3 linked regions of the Kluyveromyces lactis genome follow. The protein of the gene in region 1 purifies or fractionates together with the protein of each later gene. This does not show direct contact. Links are inferred from orthologs where the notes say so. Each region holds a gene or a part of one and is shown in the gene's direction. Other genes may lie near its edges. The genes, in order: TAF2, TAF12 and TAF8.

Evidence for each region.
Region 2: the proteins of TAF2 (region 1) and TAF12 purify together in Saccharomyces cerevisiae (affinity purification with mass spectrometry; 4 studies listed by BioGRID). This does not show direct contact. The link is inferred for Kluyveromyces lactis from reciprocal best matches to the Saccharomyces cerevisiae genes TAF2 and TAF12.
Region 3: the proteins of TAF2 (region 1) and TAF8 purify together in Saccharomyces cerevisiae (affinity purification with mass spectrometry; 8 studies listed by BioGRID, with this or other methods). This does not show direct contact. The link is inferred for Kluyveromyces lactis from reciprocal best matches to the Saccharomyces cerevisiae genes TAF2 and TAF8.

Annotation. Positions count from the first base shown.
Region 1 is NC_006039.1:177,176-180,940, forward strand, and holds the start of TAF2 (transcription initiation factor TFIID subunit TAF2), read left to right. Parts: upstream 1-1,368; coding exon 1,369-3,765. Other genes in the region: GOR1 (glyoxylate reductase), read right to left, coding at 1-444. UniProt on the Saccharomyces cerevisiae protein: Functions as a component of the DNA-binding general transcription factor complex TFIID. Binding of TFIID to a promoter (with or without TATA element) is the initial step in pre-initiation complex (PIC) formation.
Region 2 is NC_006040.1:1,375,939-1,379,026, forward strand, and holds TAF12 (Taf12p), read left to right. Parts: upstream 1-990; coding exon 991-2,526; downstream 2,527-3,088. Other genes in the region: NEDD8 ligase DCN1, read left to right, coding at 1-709; snoRNA-binding rRNA-processing protein DIP2, read left to right, coding at 2,946-3,088. UniProt on the Saccharomyces cerevisiae protein: Functions as a component of both the DNA-binding general transcription initiation factor complex TFIID and the transcription coactivator SAGA complex.
Region 3 is NC_006040.1:143,404-146,460, reverse strand, and holds TAF8 (Taf8p), read left to right. Parts: upstream 1-832; coding exon 833-2,521; downstream 2,522-3,057. Other genes in the region: SCS7 (fatty acid alpha-hydroxylase), read left to right, coding at 1-117; FCP1 (protein serine/threonine phosphatase), read left to right, coding at 2,843-3,057. UniProt on the Saccharomyces cerevisiae protein: Functions as a component of the DNA-binding general transcription factor complex TFIID. Binding of TFIID to a promoter (with or without TATA element) is the initial step in pre-initiation complex (PIC) formation.

The DNA of each region.
Region 1 (3,765 bases):
ACCGGATGGCCATTTACCTTCTTCCATCAAACGATGACCGTACTCGAAGTTTCTTAATGCGCCTAGCAATAGGAAAACGTGAGTATCGGCAGTAGAATTGTTGACCAACTCTGGAACGTTGGAAATTTGGATGTGACGTTGACCAAATGGCGTAGGGTCAATTTGATCGTAACCGGCACCATTGTGACAAATAGCAACAACGGATTCCGGCAATGCCTTAGCCAATTCAGCATCAAATCTTCCAGTGTTCTTAACACTTGGGAACGTTCTGGTTAAGATTTGAGCCTTAGAAATTGGTGATTCCGGATCCTGACATTGATCTAAGAATTGAGCTCTTGTGAGGGATGGGTCAATTGGAATAACTTGTGCAATCTTTGAAAGCTCTTCCCATGCCTTTTGAGCGTACTTAACCTGACCTAATCTTAAAACAACTGGCTTTGACATCTTCACTTGATGCTGTCTTATCAACCTATCCGATCTCTTCAGTGACCTTCAGAAAGAAATTGGTATAGACTTTACGAATAGCGAAGATATAATTTAATGGTAATACCTCCCCTACTATATACTATAAAGGTGCAATTGAAGTGTCAAGTCGATACCGTCGCCTTTGCAATTGCTGTAACCTTATAAAGGTTTTGATGTTCGGTAGTGGTTTTTCCTGATTGCGTTGCAAAAACTCGTAAGAAGATACCCATGCAGCGTTTTTAATGATTACAAACAAGAAACAGATAGATAGATAGATAGAGAGATAGACAGAAGACATTCAAAAAATTCCGGTTAATACATCCTTTCATCTTGTGACCACCCGGAGCTTCCATCATCTGATAAACTAAGCATGCTATACTGCAACCCATAACACTTCACTTATGGATCATGTAATGCGAAGAGAAATGGATTGCTGTGTCAATCGCCCCTAACACGGTACCGTGGTTTCGAGATACGGGCAAAATTCCCGTTTTTCCTATTCCAACCACATGCCATTTTTACCTGAAGAGTGGGTAGAGAGAGTGTCGCCAGGTATTAACAGCTTTCCAAAGAGAAAGACAATCACGTGGTTCAAGGTGGAATGAATGAATGAATGTTCAACCGCCGCTGATGCCTTGTCATCCTAACCCGCATTACCCGGATAAATTTCTCGCATGGTCAATATTCAAACAAACAAAATCTTGAAATTTGAATAATATATATGCATCTGTATATGATATTATTATTATATACGTTGAATTGATATTGAAGGTATACTTAGAGATGCTTCGAAACGTGATATAGATAGAGGCACCAGACGGAATTGATCAGACGTTGAAACTTAAGCACTAAACTACGATTCTATTTGCGGTACTTCTGTACTTTGAATTTCAAACACAGAATATGGTACAAATGAAATCGACACCTAAGACACCAGGTTCGGCGTACCCAGTAGTGGAACAACAATTTGGACCACAATTCAAGGTTGCCCATCAGAGAGTACAGATAGATGTGGACCTTTCGAAGAACTGTATAGTGGGTACTACTGAGATGATTATTATGCCATTGACCCCTAATCTCGAATATATAGCTTTGGATTGTAAGAATATGAGAATAAAGGATATCATCTTTGAGAACAGACGGTTGGATAATTTTGTGCATGATGATCCTTACAAAAAACTGTCAGACTCTTACTTGAATAATTCTGAGGATGATATACTCTACAACTGTAACGGCATAGAACAGAGCCATCTATTAAGAAAGAAATTTTCAGAGTTTAACCATAATCCTGAAGGTTCATCCAAATCGCAGCTATTAGTTAAAGTGCCCTCCTCTGTGAAGATTCTGCCGCATGACGTAAACACCCTATCTGCGTACTTAGGAACCGCTGCTGGTACTTCCGGTATAACTCCCTCGTTAAGAAACACCCCGAGCACTTTCCCTAACGACACAATATATACCCCGTTGACTTTACGGGTAGACTACGAATTGGACCATCCACACACAGGTGTTTGCTTTGATACCATATCCCCTGAACCTCATCTTTGGAATGCTTATACAACAAACTCAGAACTAAATAGTTCTGTATCACATTGGTTACCATGCATAGACTCCTTGGATGAGAAATGCACATGGGATTTAGAAATATCAGTACCTAAGAGGGTGCGGGACATAGGAACCACTAAAGTTGTTGGTGCAAGAAACCTACGAAAGAGGACTGCAAGAGATAGGAGATCCAATTTGAATGCGAATGATGAACATATGAAGGAGGAAGACGATGATGAAGATGACGAAGATGAAGAGGAAGAGGATGATGAGGATGAGGATGGGACTATCCAAAACGAAGATCTGAATAGAGAAATCGTGGTCGTATGTTCTGAAATGGCAACGAGAAAGGTAACTGCCCATCCAATGGATATGGCAAAGAAGACAGTTTCCTTCCAGATATTCACTCCCGTGGCCCCACACCACATCGGTTGGGCTATCGGTGCCTTCCAGACTATAGAACTACCTTCAATCTTACAGGCCGATGAAGATGAAGAGATGGATGAATTTAAAATACCGCAACAGGAGCAAGTGTTAGCTGATGAGCCTCGTGATGAAATTCCTATATTTGTTTACACATTGCCAACTGTCGATTTGAACGAAAAAACTATCCTCAATTCTACTCTTGTTTGCCAGGAAATTATGGATTTCTATTCTAAAGAGTTTGGTTCATATCCTTTTACCTCGTACTCTTTGCTGTTTTTACCAACTTTAACGACTGACCTGATGGATTTCACAAGCGCCACCTTTTATAATTCCAGAATGCTATATCCTCCAGAAATTATAGACTTAATTTATCCTACAACCAACACACTTGCATGGGGTTTAGCAAACCAATGGTCTGGCGTTAACATCACTCCTCTAGAATTGAATGATTTATGGTGCGTTGTTGGCATGGCGGGATACATGGTATTACAATTAATACGAAAGCTCATGGGTGTCAATGAGTACAAATTCAGGATCAAAATGGCATCGGAAGCCATAGTTGAACAGGATTGGGAAAAACAGCCAATCGGAACTACTTTTGATTCTGCTTCTTTACCTATATCAACTCTATCAAAGGAAATTAATTTTATAAAATTAAAGGCTCCAATGGTGCTTTTTATTCTCGATAGAAGAATGACAAAAACAGAAAGGTCATTCGGTATGTCCCGAGTATTGCCCAAAATATACTTACAAGCTATGTCAGGGGAATTGACCAATAACTCATTGTCTAGTACCCATTTTCAGAGAGTGTGTGAACGTGTGAACAAAAATAGACTCGAAACTTTCTTCAAGCAATGGGTATACGGATCCGGTGTTCCAATATTCCGCATAACGCAAAGATTTAACAAAAAGAGAATGGCAGTTGAAATGGGCATCAGACAAGTTCAGATGCAGGAATTAGGATTAGGTAAAATCGTTGGAAAAGAAAATTTCAATTCTAGTGCTATGGAATATTTGCAAGATCAAGACAAATCTCCTACTCAGGTGTTCACCGGATCCATGACAATCAGAATCCATGAAGCTGACGGAACTCCGTATGAACATATTGTTGAACTAAAGGATGTATTTACAAAATTGGATGTTCAGTATAACACTAAATATAAAAGGTTAAAGAGAAGAAGGAAGGTTAATAGAGTGACAAAGGAAGCGAAAGAGGAAATCAATGAGGATACACAGGAGGAGGAAAATGCCAACGAAGATATAGTGCTTATTAATTGTATGGGGGATGTACTCGTTAGCAAAGATGACTGTAATAAATGGAATTTAACA
Region 2 (3,088 bases), on another chromosome or scaffold:
AAAGAATGGAGGGCGTGTCGAGTACGCTTTGAACGATTATTATGATAATGTGGATACCATTGGAGGTATGCGTCAATCTTACAATCCCAGTTTAGTGGCTATCTTTGAGAAGTACTCGAATGGCGTTTCGGCAACAGAATGGGACTCTTCTGGGCTAATACGGTTTATTGAAGACCTCGGTATATCGATAGAGGACCCAATCACGCTATGTCTTTCTCAAATGCTATGCATCGACGATTTAACAAAACCAGTATCTCGAGAACAATTCCTAAATGCCTGGTCAGATTTATGTTGCGACACTTTAAGAAAGATGAAAGCCTATTTACATACGCTAGAAGAGAGACTGGAGACGGACAAAGATTATTTCAAATCAATCTATTCCTACACTTTCCCATTGAATACAGACGAGGGATCTCGTCATTTACCTAAAGATGTCGCAATAGAATACTGGAATATTTTCTTTAAAGACAATAAATATGCGTTGAAAATCTCCAAGGAGAGACTTAATTCATGGCTTGAATTCATCAATTCTGACGACTCGGATCCAAGGAAACAGAACATCTCAAACGATATATGGTTGATGTTCTATAAGTTCATTGAACAATACCCCAATGACGAAAGTTTAAAACAAAACTATGATGAAATGGCTGCTTGGCCGCTACTTATAGACGAATATTACGAATTCTTGGAAGAAAATGACAAGCTGTGATGCAGCGCAAACACCTATATCGCTTATGAACATATTCATAGATACATATATTCATATATACGCATTGTGTATGTTGTCAGGGTAACACTTGTCTTCCTATTCCTTTCAGCATCAAAATTCAAAAATATTTCAAAGATCAACAAGTGAATAACAATCGAAAGTAGTTGCCGCGAGGTTAAAGCAAGGGCAAAACGGGGGCAAAGAAGGCCAGCACGAGGGTATTTCGACACTTAAAGTGGGCTTGCGGTGTGCATTTCGGATTACGAACCAAGATACGGACAATGTCAGGCCAAGCAGGTAATGTACAGCTGCAGAACCTCACGCCAGCTTCTATGCAGCAATTGGCGGATAGACTAAAATCGTTAGTTAACGAAGCTAAGCGAATTGGTGTAGATACCAAGGAAGGGAAAGAGCTATTGAGACAAGCGGCCCGTATTAAGGCTTTGTACGAGGCTTACAGTAAACAGAGGCAGCAGCAGGCCCAAGCGCAGGCTGGAGCACAGGGAGCTGTAAATAATAATGCCACGAATGTTAAATCCATGGATCAGCAGCAACAGCAGCAGCAACAGCAGCAGCAACAACAAGCTACCGCCAGTTCCAATAATGTGACGAATAACATAAAGGTCTTATTAACTCCTCAACAGCGTGAAGCTTACAATAGATTGGTTCAAAAGTATGAGGATGACGGTCAGAATATCAAGGGAGAATTCAACTTTTTGAAGAGAAATATTAGTGTTTTGGACCAAGAGATCAGGAATAGACGAGGTAACAGTCTATCGGTGCAGCAATTAGAGGTTAACAGGAATGAATTATTAATGAAAATCAGGGCATTGAGTGCCCAGTATTCGACATTACAACAGAAATATCAAGAGGACAGAAGAAAGTTTTACATTGAGTGTTCTCAAACTAATGCTGACTTAAGAAGATATCTACAAGCACAGCAACAAAAAGCTAATGCTGCTAAGTCACAGGGTACAGTAGCTGCAAATGCAGGTACACCGGGACCTCAGGCTGGTGTTTCTACTCCAGGAACCAACACCGGTACACCAATTCCAACAAGTTTGAATAAAGCTTCGAGTGGTAGTCCTCCAAATGCTATGGCGCAAAGACAAAATATACCAATTCAAAAGACCGCTGCAACTACTGCAACTGCAACAAACGCAAACCCGAGCTCAGCAGCTGCCGCACCAAATAACACAGCTTCTGACAAATCGTCCCCAATGCAGGTGACAACGGTGAATGCAGCTGCAAATCAAACAGCACAAAGCAATACAAGACCACCAATCTTCAAGCAACCAAACCCATCGATACCAATAAGTGAAAATGTCACCGCATCCCCAACAGTTTCAGTGTCATACAGAAGCAACAGACCTACGATAACAGGCGGTAGTGGTATGAACGCGCCAGCGCTAACTACACCTGTTATGACCAAACTACCGCCATATGAGGTCGATACTGAGCGTGTGATGTCTAAAAGAAAGCTCCGTGAACTCGTCAAAACGGTGGGTATAGACGAAGGTGATGGTGAAACCACCATTGATGGTGATGTGGAAGAGCTATTACTCGATCTAGCAGACGATTTCATTACTAATGTTACGAATTTCGCCTGTAAATTGGCAAAACATAGAAAATCCGATTCACTCGACGTAAGAGACATCCAAATGCATCTGGAACGTAATTGGAATATCAGAATCCCAGGGTTTGCCAACGATGAAATCCGTAGCACCAAGAAATGGAATCCAACCCCTTCGTACAATCAAATGGTAAATGCAATCAATAACAATAAAACTGCACGTACACATCCCGAAAAGAAGTGAAATGGATAAATTACCACTGTTTAAACAAGTTCATTCATTCAAACAGACTTAATTTGATGCATATATTATACATCATATATCATATATCTATTAATGTAACAATTCCTCAAAATATTGAAAATGGAGAAGTGGATGAGTACCTACAACAATGCATAATCAAGTCCAGGGAAACTGATTCTTAATACTCTTTGTCCTATTCTGCCTGTCTCATATATGTATAAACCACCCTTTTCTTTTTCATGGCTTCAAGTTGTATTTTTCAAAATTTTCCAAAACGTTAAAAACTATGGAAGGTCATCTCATCTCATCGCATAATGCTGTTCAAGAACAAGTATAACAAAACTTATATACTATAACCCTGTGTAAGATATCAGTTATTGCTACTATTATCCGCAGTGTGGAGTTTAAATTGATACACAATGGTTAAATCGTATCAACGTTTTGAACAAAGTGGTCTTTTTGGGTTAATTTCTACTTCAAATCAGTCGATCTATCTTCCAGCTACGAACTCAACGTCTGGCAAGCTAATTACAGGTGCTCTGGAGAATATTCAAATATGGAC
Region 3 (3,057 bases), on another chromosome or scaffold:
GAGCATCATTACAAGAATTACGAGTTAGGTTTTGGTGTCACCTCTTGGTTCTGGGATAAAGTGTTCGGTACTTATCTTGGTGAAAACGCTCCATTATCCAACATGAAGTATGATTGAATTAAATAATTCACTATACGTGCCCACACAACCCTTCTATCATTGTTATTCACACTATTATTATTTTTAAACTCATTTTAACGACGATAGGAACTCTTCCTCTCCCAGTCTACACATTTTTCAGCATTAACGCTCTTGTTTCTTTCTCTCTCCTTCCTTCTCTCTGTAACAAAACCCGAGAGAGTTTGATGGATACCACAAACGTCAGCGATATATGTCCACCTGAGGATATATTTCCACCAGATCTTCCATTTCAATTCCAAAACCAGTGATCCATCTCTTTTGATTGTCTTTGCCAAGAACAGGTTCTATTCTTATGATATCGTTATTAGTATTAATATCTTTTTTTATCTTCTGTTTTAACTCCATATACATCCAATACATAAATTGATACAACTGCTTCAGCACAACTATTTTAAACATGTTCGCCGGGTTGTTTTCGTCCACCTCGTGTAACTTTATCTACTCTTGATGTTATTAACATCAGTTCACGCAAATCACGTGAAAATAATAACGGTATTACCCGAACGTTATGCCATTCGAAAACTCTGAATGAATGAGTTGAAGCATTGAAGTTATTGCGAGAGACGTCTCCAAACGCTTAGCTCTTAAGGGTTAAAGCAATCAATCAGTTTCATCCTATGGGTATGAAACTGACCGAATAGTAAAGCACTCATACAATATTAAAGTACTAGTTGGCTCTTTGAGACTGAATATGACGACTTCTGAGGATAAAGATAAAAACGATGCCAAGATAGAGACTGACCAGAGACGTGTGCGACTAGATAAGTTACCTAATCTAAATGAGGTACCTCATGCCAATCCGATGGAACGCTTGTTTGCACAGGCCGTACTATTGCAATTGAAGACACTTAATAAGAATGTGGTTATATCTCAATTGGCGTTTGACGATCTTTGTTATGTTTCATTATTACAGTTAGATGATTTATTGCAAAGTCTGAAGAAGATAACTCAAGTACAGCGAAGGACAAAGATCTCCAAGCTTGATTTGAACCTCTACTTTAAAGGTATTGGTATGGATCTGAAAGATTTGAATGGGCAAGTGGAAATATCGAATTTTGTACATGGGAAATTCAAGGACGAGGCTAATGCCTTGAACGAAACTGTGCTAAAGGTTAAACAGCAGTTCATGAAAGAATTGGAAGAAAAAGAGCTTTTGAGTTCTAAACATTCAGAGTTCTTCGTGCAAGATGTTGATATATTAAATTTGTTACCTTCGAGCAACAAATCTAACAAATATGTGCCCAGTTGGTTGCCAGAACTACCGCCTGATCATACGTACAAATTTACCTCGTTGTACAAGAGACCCATTACAGATGAGAGGCTGATGAAGAAGAAGTTACTAGAAGAAGGAAGGCTTTCGGAAAAGGCATTGTTGAATATGCTTAGTCAAGTTGTCAATCAGGACCCACTGGTAGCGCTAAATAAAGATAGCGACCAGTCTGCCAACAATGCTGCCCTTTCTGAACATATTAAAGAAAGTCAGTTAGAAACCGATTTAATCTTTGACCCTCATAAAACCATACCTACAGATAAAGAATGGGGTACAACAACGGTCCTTCATGGCATCGAGTCATTCAATCTTTCGCCAGTGAAGAATTTCAATGTGTTAGAATACTGTAAGAAGAGAGATGCAATAGTAAAACGAAGGGCTGAAAGGGCAGAAAACCAAGTATCGAATAAGAGACGTAACCCATTCATACGAGGTGCCATGATCTGTTCACCCTACGGTCAAGGGAGTACCAAATCGAGGAAGTCAGTTGAAAATCAATTGAAAACAATGCTAAGGCGTAGTTACTTGGGGCTGATAGATTCCATACCGAGAGTCAAAGAAGTACGAGAAAGAGCGAGAAAAGAGGCAGAAGAAAGAGAGAGACTTTTACAAGAACAAAGGAGAATAGAAAAGGAGAAGAAAATGGCCGAACAAGAGATTCTTGATCTTAATAACCTACAAACTGATCCCCTATTGCATGGCTGGGACAAAGACAGCGAAGATGATGACGAAAACGACGACGAAAAATTTCTGACGCAGGGACCGCCAGAGGTACAAGCAATAACAGATACTAACATTTCAACTCTGGGGGAGTTGGCTTCTGAGCTGTTGCACGGACCAGATGAAGAAAAACCGATGGAAAGCACAGAGACTTTTGAAGATGTACTTCCGTCAATTACCCCCGCTAATTCGACTCCTTTACTTTCAGAAGTCGCATCGGGATCCGCATCAGGTCTGACGCCGAAAGATATATCGGAAGATGCACCAGAAGCAGGATCAGAAGAAGCTAAATCAGAATTAGCCCTTCATACATCACCGGGAGTTGCCACAGACGAGTTGCTAGAAAATCAATCACAAGATCACGATTCTAACGTGAATGATTTATTCTGATATATTTTGACTTTCATTATAAGTAGTCATATTAGCTAATGAATCAAAACTATGTACATCATAATTCGTATAGTCAGTAACGTTTGTATTCTCCTAATGCTAATCAATGTAACACCACTCATACACGCGATGCAAGAATACTTCATGCTGTGTATGTTCTGTTTACTTCTCTCTTCATATCTGTTTATCCATTATCGATCGAATTTGAATTTAAATAACAAACATTTCTGTTAAATAAAAGCCAACGTGAAGACATAACAATGAATTTCGGAGTTGCAAGAAAGGGAACGGGCTGTCAAGCGGGATTCCAAGCGCGGTAAGATGTCACTCGAAACTAATGTGAAGGTGACCAGTGACCTACCATATCCCATCACTGTTGCGCAGTTGTACGTAAAACCGGGTGATCACGTTGAAAAAGGCCAACGATTATTTGCTTACGAGTATTGGGATTTCCAGGACGTTCTGGTGAAGTATGAGGAGAAGACTAAGAAGCAGCGGGTGGATCGGGTGGCTACTTTTGACTCCCCTGTCTCTGG